Linked DNA regions of Caenorhabditis elegans. The protein of the gene in region 1 interacts with the protein of each later gene in a pairwise test. Each region holds a gene or a part of one and is shown on either strand. Other genes may lie near its edges.

What was found. The genes of interacting proteins can lie anywhere in the genome.
Region 2: the proteins of ddx-35 (region 1) and ZK632.12 interact in a two-hybrid assay, tested with the Caenorhabditis elegans proteins (one large-scale study listed by BioGRID).

What each region holds. Positions count from the first base shown.
Region 1 is NC_003281.10:1,551,443-1,556,275, reverse strand, and holds the start of ddx-35 (putative ATP-dependent RNA helicase DHX35 homolog), read left to right. Parts: upstream 1-1,828; 5' UTR 1,829-1,834; coding exon 1,835-2,077; intron 2,078-2,755; exon of another isoform or gene 2,756-2,853; intron 2,854-3,269; coding exon 3,270-3,440; intron 3,441-3,505; coding exon 3,506-3,669; intron 3,670-4,643; coding exon 4,644-4,833. Other genes in the region: eelo-1 (Early ELOngation arrest), read left to right, coding at 107-447.
Region 2 is NC_003281.10:9,828,941-9,832,935, forward strand, and holds ZK632.12 (uncharacterized protein), read left to right. Parts: upstream 1-1,861; 5' UTR 1,862-1,897; coding exon 1,898-1,913; intron 1,914-1,960; coding exon 1,961-2,353; intron 2,354-2,832; coding exon 2,833-3,041; intron 3,042-3,089; coding exon 3,090-3,230; intron 3,231-3,276; coding exon 3,277-3,318; 3' UTR 3,319-3,483; downstream 3,484-3,995. Other genes in the region: ZK632.11 (uncharacterized protein), read left to right, coding at 22-231, 277-672.

The DNA.
Region 1 (4,833 bases):
CCCGGAAAACTTGTAATTTTCAGAATTTTTCGGAGAATTTTCAAGGTTTATAGTGTAAAATTGAATTTCTAACTGAAATTTCTCAAACAAAAATTATAATTTTCAGCTCCAACTCACCAAGGAGCCGCCGAGAGCACCAGAGAGCAGCAGCTCAAAATCCCGCCACCACCGGAGATCGAAGTGAATCCAGCGATTGCAACACGATTTGAGCATGCTTTTCGTCAAAAAGCCCTCGGAACCGATCTAAATCAACAAATTCAAGGCAATCAGCAGTACAATAATCCGATGAGCTACACAACATTCATCGATGCGTTCGAAATTGACGAAAAAGGCACGAATTTCGCGAAAAATATCTTCGATCCGCACGTTTTTCCCGATAATTGCTTTTATGATGCGATCGCCGACGAGCAGAAGAAGATTCAGGAACAATCGGCAAAGAAAAAGTGAAAAAATCGATAATTTTCTCGCATTTTTTATTGTTGAAATTGTGAAATTTTGAAATTTTCCAAAAATGAATGTCAGATTCGTATTCTCCACGTCATCAGCTTTCAAATGACCCACTACATGCCTGGGTTCCGGCGATTTTGAATTTTCGCCGTTTTGACACAGCTGAAATCGGTGCTACAGTAACCCGCGTGGCGAGACCCGAAATTTTCAAAATCGACGAAACCCGGGCATGTTGGGGGTCATTTGAAAGCTGATGACTCGGAGAATTCGAATTCGGCGTTCGTTTTTTGAAATTTTTGAAATTGGAATTTTAAATTATTTTTCTTTGAAATTTTCCCCATTTTTTTAGAATTATTTTTTTAAAATTTGTTTATACCAATCTCGTAAAATCTTTTGAAAATAATAGTCATTCCTCTGCGAATTTCTTGTCCTTTTATTATATGGTAGCTGAAAAATTTGTAAAATTCGAATTTTATTACTTTTTCTACAATTTTTTTTTCAATTCAAAAATTTATTGAAAACCATGTAGAAATTCGATTTCCCGCCATTCTCAGCTCCAATTTGACCCCCATCATGCCCGGGTTCCGGCGATTTTGAGGTTTTTCGTCGTTTCGACACAGCTGAAACCGGTGCTACAGTACCCCGCGTGGCGAGACCCAAAAATTTCAAAATCACCGGAACCTGGGCATGTTGGGGGCCATTTGAAAGCTCTCAGTGAGCTGAGTTCAATGGTGGCAGAGTTTTGGAATTTTAGGCCACGAGAACTGGGGTTTCTAGGCCATTACTCAGAAATCGGAGATTTTGACCTTTTTTTTCGAAATTTGCTCGGAAATTTAGTTTTACCAAATAGTTTTAAATAGTATTTTGTGCGAATTGGTTGTTAAAACTATTTTTTTCAAAAAAAAAACCACTTTTTTGAAATTTTTTGAAAAAGTTAGTCCAAAGTCCAGAAAAACTCAAATTTTCTATAAATTTCTTGAAAATTCTGAAAAATTCGAATTCCCGCTATTCTCAGCTTCAATTTGAACCCCATCATGCCCTATTTCCGGCGATTTTGAGTTTTTTTCGCGTTTCGACACAGCTGAAACCGGTGCTACAGTACCCCGCGTGGCGAGACCCAAAAATTTCAAAATCACCGGAACCTGGGCATGTTGGGGGTTATTTGAAAGCTCTCAGTGAGCTGAATTTATTGGTGCCCGAGTTTTGGAATTCTAGGCCACGTGGATTTGGATTTCTAGGCCATCATTGAAAATGAAAGGGTTTTTGTTCAATTTTGGCGTTTTTTTTCCGAATTTCTTTAGTTTTCCATGAATTAAATAGTTTTTCTCACTTTTTTCAGTGAAAAATCTAAAATTTTCACTGAAAAAACTTGAATTTTCAGCCATAAATGTCCTATCACCCGGGACACGGTCACCGTCAGGAGCCCAGAAAAGGAGCCGGAGCCCGTCGTGGTTTTGCTCGACCGGATGACTCTGCAGACGCTCCACGTACCGGACCACTGATTTTCGAGGAACGATCTACCGAAAACGCGGGAGCAGCTCCGCCGATTGAAGAGCAACTAAAAGTGCACAATAATCCATATGCTTCATTGAATATTCAACAGCAGAGAATTAGATTACCTATTTTTAAGGTGAAGAAAATGTTCTACGGGAAATTCTTTGGCGCCGCGAAATTTGAATTTTTTGTGAAAAAAATTTTGAAAGTTTTTTTTTTTATGAAAAAATTTTTTTCGGAAATTTTTTTTGAAATTTTCAAACATTTGTCCCAGTTTTCTTTTTAGACCAAAAATTTTCACATAGTGCCAGCTAAAAATTTAACAATTTAAAAAAAAAATAAAAAGATTTTTCGAGAAAAAACTGTTTCTATAAAAATCGAAAAAATTCAGATATTGTGCAGTTGTGAGAAAATTAAATTTTGCACAGTTTGAGCTAAAAAATTGAGAAAAATCCTGAAAACTAAAAAAAAAAAATTTTGGAAAATATTTTTTTGAAAAATTCGAAAAAAAAATATCGATTTGTTTAAATTTGAAATTGTTTTTTTTTTTCAAAATGTTACAATAATAATATCAAAAAAGCTCAAATTTATACACTCTACCTACCTACAAACTGTAATTTTCAAAAAAAAAAAAACATTTTCTTCCAAAAAATAAAAATTTCTTTTTCGATTTTTTGAATTAATTTTTTTTCTTTACTATTTAATTTTTCTTAATTCAAGATAAAAAATTTTCAATAATTTTTTGTAGTTTTAACTGAAGCTAAATTTTTAATAAGTTAAATTTTTTCCCAAATTGAAATTTCAGTGACTCATGTGCTTCTACTCGTATTGATGGCATAAAAACTTTATTTATTCACATTTGCAGTCTTAAATTGGGCTGAAAATGTGAATAAATACCGTATTTCTGCCAACAATTTGACAATAGAGCACATTTGTCACTTGGAGATGCGGAAGCTATGCCCAAATTTTCATTTTTTCGGAAAACTTCAAATTTTTAGCATTTTTCCGATGATTTTCGCTAATTTTCAGTATGAAATTCGACTTCTCCATCACTTTTTACCCCCGGAGCCCGGTTTTCAGCCAATTTGAAGAAACTGTCGTAAGGTTCGGTGCCAAGTACGCAAGCCTCGGTGTTTGCGTACTTTTGGGGCTACCGTACCCCTCGAAATTTAAATTTTGAGCTGGAACCCTATTTTTTAGTGGTAAAGTAGATAAAAAGTGTAAAATTATTGAACATCTGCGAAAAATTCAAAAAAAAATTTCCAAAAAAAAAAAAAATTGTTTTTTTCGAAAATTTTTTTTCAAATGAAAATTAATTTTTCATTCAGAATCGCGGTCACATTCTCTACATGTGCGAACGATATCGTACAATAATCATTGTCGGCGAAACAGGATGCGGAAAGAGCACTCAAGTACCCCAATTCCTTCTAGAAGCCGGTTGGGCGGCCGACGGCCGCCAAATCGTCATTACTCAGCCACGAAGGGTGGCCGTGGTTACGGTATGGCTTGGCGGGAAATTCAAATACCTGAAATTTATTGGGTGAAAAATTGAAAAATTTTGCAGTTAGCCACCCGAGTCGCCGAGGAGAAGGACTGTATTTTGGGGCACGACGTTGGGTATACTGTAAGATTTGATGATGTATCGGATAAGGATACTAAAGTCAAATTTATGACTGATGGGCTATTGTTGAGGGAGATCCTTGCAGATCCACTATTATCGAAATATAGGTGATTTTTTGAATTTTTACCCGGAAAATTTTGAAGAAATCCGAAAATCCTCCGCCTAGAAACAATTTTTCAACAGGATTTTCTTGCAGAAAACTGCTAAAACATAGAAAAATTTGATAAAAACTCACATTTTCCCCGAAAAATTACGGAAAAATGTCCCTTGCTCCCCAAAAAATCGATATTTCCCCTGTGACTTTTGTGCTTCTATTCAGATTTTTGGCATAAATACTGTATTTATTCACATTTTCAGTCATAAATTGGGCTAAAAATGTGAATAAATACCGTATTTCTGCCAACAATTTGGCAATAGAGCACATTTGTCACTCGGACATGCGGAAGCTATGCCCAAATTTTCGTTTTTCCCGAAAAACTTGTGATTTTTACAGATTTTCAATACGAAATTCGACTTCTCCATCATTTTTTACCCTCGGAATCCGGTTTTCAGCCAATTTAGACTAACTGTCGTAAGGTTGGGTGCCGAGTACGCAAGACACTCGGTGTTTGCGTACTTTTGGCGCTACCGTACCCCTCGAAATTCAAAAATAGGGTTAGAAGCCCCAAAAAGGTTTTTAGGGGTGAAATTTGACGAGCAATTCGAATTTCAGTCTGAAAATCTTTGAAAACTTCTGGAAAATTCTGAAAAAAAGTTTTTAACAAAAAATTCAGTATTTTCAAATTTCAAATTGTTTTCTATACATTGTCATGCCAAAATTCAAATTCCCCGTAAATTTCCACCCCTGGAACAGCTTTTTCAGCCAATTTGTGCAAAATGTCGTAAAATTCGGTGTTTGCGTACTTTTGGCGCTACCGTACCCCTCGAAATTCAAAATTTGGAATTGAGGCCGGGAAAAATGCTTATTAGGTGTGAAATTAAATGGGAAATCCGAATTTTTACGTGAAAATCTTCAAATTTTCAAAAAATCTCTCAATTTTTCGATTAAAAAAAAATTATTTTTCAAAAAAAAAATTTCCAGCATTATCATGATTGACGAGGCACACGAACGGTCATGTAACACGGATATTTTGCTCGGGTTACTTCGAAAAATCATACAAATTCGCAATGATCTGAGGATTATTGTGTCCTCGGCGACGCTGGACGCCGAGCTTTTTAAGGATTTTTTCGAGATGAATGAGACGGGAAATTCGGATAAAGATACTGCTGGA
Region 2 (3,995 bases), 8.3 Mb from region 1:
TTAGAAATTACATTTTTATAGCGTGAAGACTTCAAGATTCCACCAAGAGATGTATTTTGCTCAGTTTATCAAGATGAATTGCTGAAAATATTCAAGAAAAGTGAAAAAGCGGAGAAACGAAGAGCCAAATCAACTCCGAAACATAAAAAGTTCGCTAATGAAGATGATGATGATGTTATAGTAATCACAAGTGATGAAATCAAAATTGACAAGTTCAATACTCCGGGAGAAGTAAATTAAATTAAAATAAAAATTCAATATCAGTTACTTTTCCAGGAAGATTCCATTATAATACTCGACGGCTCTGCTTCAACAGAAGAAAAACACCTTTTGACTCCGATTCGAAAAGATGTAAAACTAGGAGAATCGATGTTTGAATTAATCGGAACTCCAGTGTTTGGTAGCTCTCTTCTTACTCCTGTTGCTCCACTTGAAGCGTTTGCCGTCGGAATTCAACCATTTGAAGCAAGAGAAGAACTTACTGGATGCAAGGGAAACTTCAGAAATCTCATGGACAAATTGAAAGAAATCCGCGAAAATAACTTCGTTCCGGAGCCTGAAGAAGAAGTTATTTTGGTTTCAACGAATGAAATTTCGTCGTCGAATAACTCTGGAACTGCTAAGAACAAAAATAATCAGAACAGGAAAAGAAATAGAAGACATGCTAAATGAATTGGCTTTTTGAAAAATCCTTTTGTTGAATTATTGTTGTTGCTTAAAATTGTTGTTGTTGTTCCATATTTTTACGCAAAACTACCATGATAAAACCTTTTTTCTTGATTTTCCAACCTCTCTCTTGTTGTAAATGGTTCCGAATGTCCACAATCTTCTATTTTGGTCATCAATTATATCTTTATCTCTGCGTTTCTTTCACTCTTGCCGCTTTCCGATGGATTGGTGACACACAGCAAATATCGGTTTTCTCAATTTAAACTAAATTGGTCTAATTGGCTTATGTTTAATCAGATTATTTCGAGAAACCTGTGAATATTAAAAAGATGGTATAGGTTTTGAGGGATTTTTTGCCGAATTTATTTTTTAGAAAGTGATGGAATTTTTTATGATTGCAAATTTTTTTAAAAATTATTTAAAAACGAGCTGAATTATTTTTTGAATTCCCGCGCAAACGAATTCCTAAAGTTTCGACGTTTTCAGGTTATATTATTAAGGTTTTTATTAAATTATTGATTCGAAACATAATTTTGTAAAACTTTCATACATTTTTTCCCGCAAAACAAGTTTACATTATTGATTTGAGGCCAGATTTAGAGTTTCAGAGAAGTTCTTTAGATTAACAAAATAAAATAAAAAGAAACCCCAATTAATATAGCCGGAAAAAGCAAAAAATATCGAAATTGTGTAGATCACTTGCGCGGGAATTCAGAAAAAGTTTAGCCTTTTTAATCATTTTTTTTCCAAAATTGAAAAAAATCATTTAAAACAATGTTCAAATTTTGTAATTTTGTTACAGTTATTTTCGGTAAATATATTGAGATTGTTATTGTTAATTAGAAGGAAAACCTACAAAATCTGCTCCCATACCATGCATAACTATATTTAAGATCCGAAATCTTATTCAAAAAAGTAATAAAATTAATTGAAACCTTTTTTCCAGGCCACCAGTTGTTCTTATCATTCATTCGTGACAATTTATTCATTGCATTCTTTTTCTTTCGTTCAGGCAGCGGTCCACTGGCTTGTCCATCCGATTGTTTGCACATAAAGTGTATGATGACTCATCACATTCCTTTTCCCTCTCTTCTTATTCTGTTCTCACTCAAAATAATTTTTTGTTATGATTTTCAACCTTCTTCGTCTCGAACTAAATTTATGAATTTTTTGAAATATTCAAAGTTTTCAGCGGATTCTTTCCATCGTTTCTAAATCACAAAACACAATGGTTGATCGACTTGGTAAGTTTTATTTATTTTCTTTTATAAAATAATTTATTAAATTTTAGTGAATAGTGAAGTGAATTCCCGTCGAATGGCTAACGTAGAACAATGCTTTGGAAAAATGGGAGAACAATTGTCGGTATTCGGACGAGTTCTTGTCGGAGAAGGTGTTCTTGTGAAAATGTGCCGAAAGAAACCGAAGCAACGGCAATTCTTCTTGTTCAATGATATTCTTGTATATGGAAACATTGTGATTTCGAAAAAGCGATATAATAAGCAAAGAATTCTAAGATTGGAAGGTGTACAAGTAGAAGATCTGGAAGACGATGGAATTGAGAAACATGGATGGATTATTAAGACACCTGCAAAATCGTTTGCAGTTTATGCAGCAACTGAAACTGAAAAACGAGAATGGATGTTGCATATTGAGAGATGCGTTACAGATCTCCTTGAAAGAGGTAATACACGAAAATTATTTTCAAAAAATTTCCACCAAAAAATTGCAGAGAAAGTTTGAAACCACCGTAATCTTTAAAGGCGCTTACCATTTTCCGTTTCAAAAAATCTTGTCGTTTCGAGACCGAAAACCGTATTTTTAATGCAACAATCGCAACATTTTTCGTCTAATTAATATTAAGCTTAAATAAGTCTTAGGCGCATTGTGGTCTTTTTATTTAAAAAAATGTTGGCAGCAATGTTCAATTTAATTTATAAATTGTGATGCAAAATTGGTCCATAGATCGACAAGTTACAGTAATTTGTTGTCCGCCTGGCGAGACCCATGCGCCTAAGATAGGTGAAAAATTCTCATATTTAAATGACCAATAATATACGTTCTACAAAAAAATTGGGAATCACCATATCTCTAAATTAAAACGGTTTTTTAGATAAATTATTTTTTTCTATTAAAAATACAATCAAAATTTTCTACTTTCAGGAAATAAGCAAGCCGCGACTGCTCACGCAGCTGTATGGGTTCCCGATGGTGAAGCAGTGAAGTGTATGGTCTGCGGGAAAACTCAATTCAATCTGGTTCAAAGAAGACATCACTGCAGAAATTGTGGACGTGTCGTGTGTGGCGCCTGCTCATCGAGAACATTCCGTATTGACAATGTACATAAGAAGCCTGTCCGAGTTTGTGATCATGTACGGTGAAGTTTGACACTTTATCGTCTAAATATCATGATTTTTCAGTGCTTTGACAGTCTGAGTAGTGCCACACCAGGACAAGAAGAAAGTGAACCAAAAACGGGAAATCGCTTGCACCATGAGGATTCCTCCTCGGATAGTGAAGACGAGGTCAATGGTAGTGGACGATCGAGTAATGAGAGCCGGGTATACTGAATATTGCCTAATCTTTCAATAAACATACAAATTTCAGCCAACATTCTACCGTGAGGACGTTCAGCAGCCGGCAACATAGTTCAACGCATATAAACTACGATGAAAATTCTAAAATCCACGTCCTCATTCCTACTACTAAATTAATATTATATTTTCTTAAACGTTCCTGTGATATACAGCAATTGTACGTATTTTTTTTTGTTGCTTCCAACGACTTTTACAATTCCTGAAAAAAAGTTATTTCCTTTTTCTTCAATTCAAGATTATTCAGAACTGCACAAAATTAAAACGACCACATGACAGAAGGAATCATTTTAATAATCATGAATTACAGAAATGATCAAATTTCTTGTCCTTACAAGAAACAGCGCAATTAACTGAAGTGTTCAGAGAAACGTATGGTCCATTCGGCTTGGAATCATATAAATGTTCTTAAATTATTAAAAGTAAAATAAATGTTTTATTTACATATGATTAGTGAAATCAGAGCACAAAAGTGTGCAATGAAAAATAAATTTTATTTTCTGGAGTACTGTAAGCGGGCACATGGTGTATTGTACGCAGAGTTCTTCGAGTGTTTGCGTATCCACGTTGTTCTCCACGTGGACAAAACGCGCGGCACGTTTACTTTCTGAAAATTCGTTTTATTTTTGCATTACTGTCTTCTTAAAAGCTGAAAATGGCTGCAAACGAAGTGTAAATTTCATAAATTCCTAAGCTTTTATTCATATATATATATATATATATATTTCATCA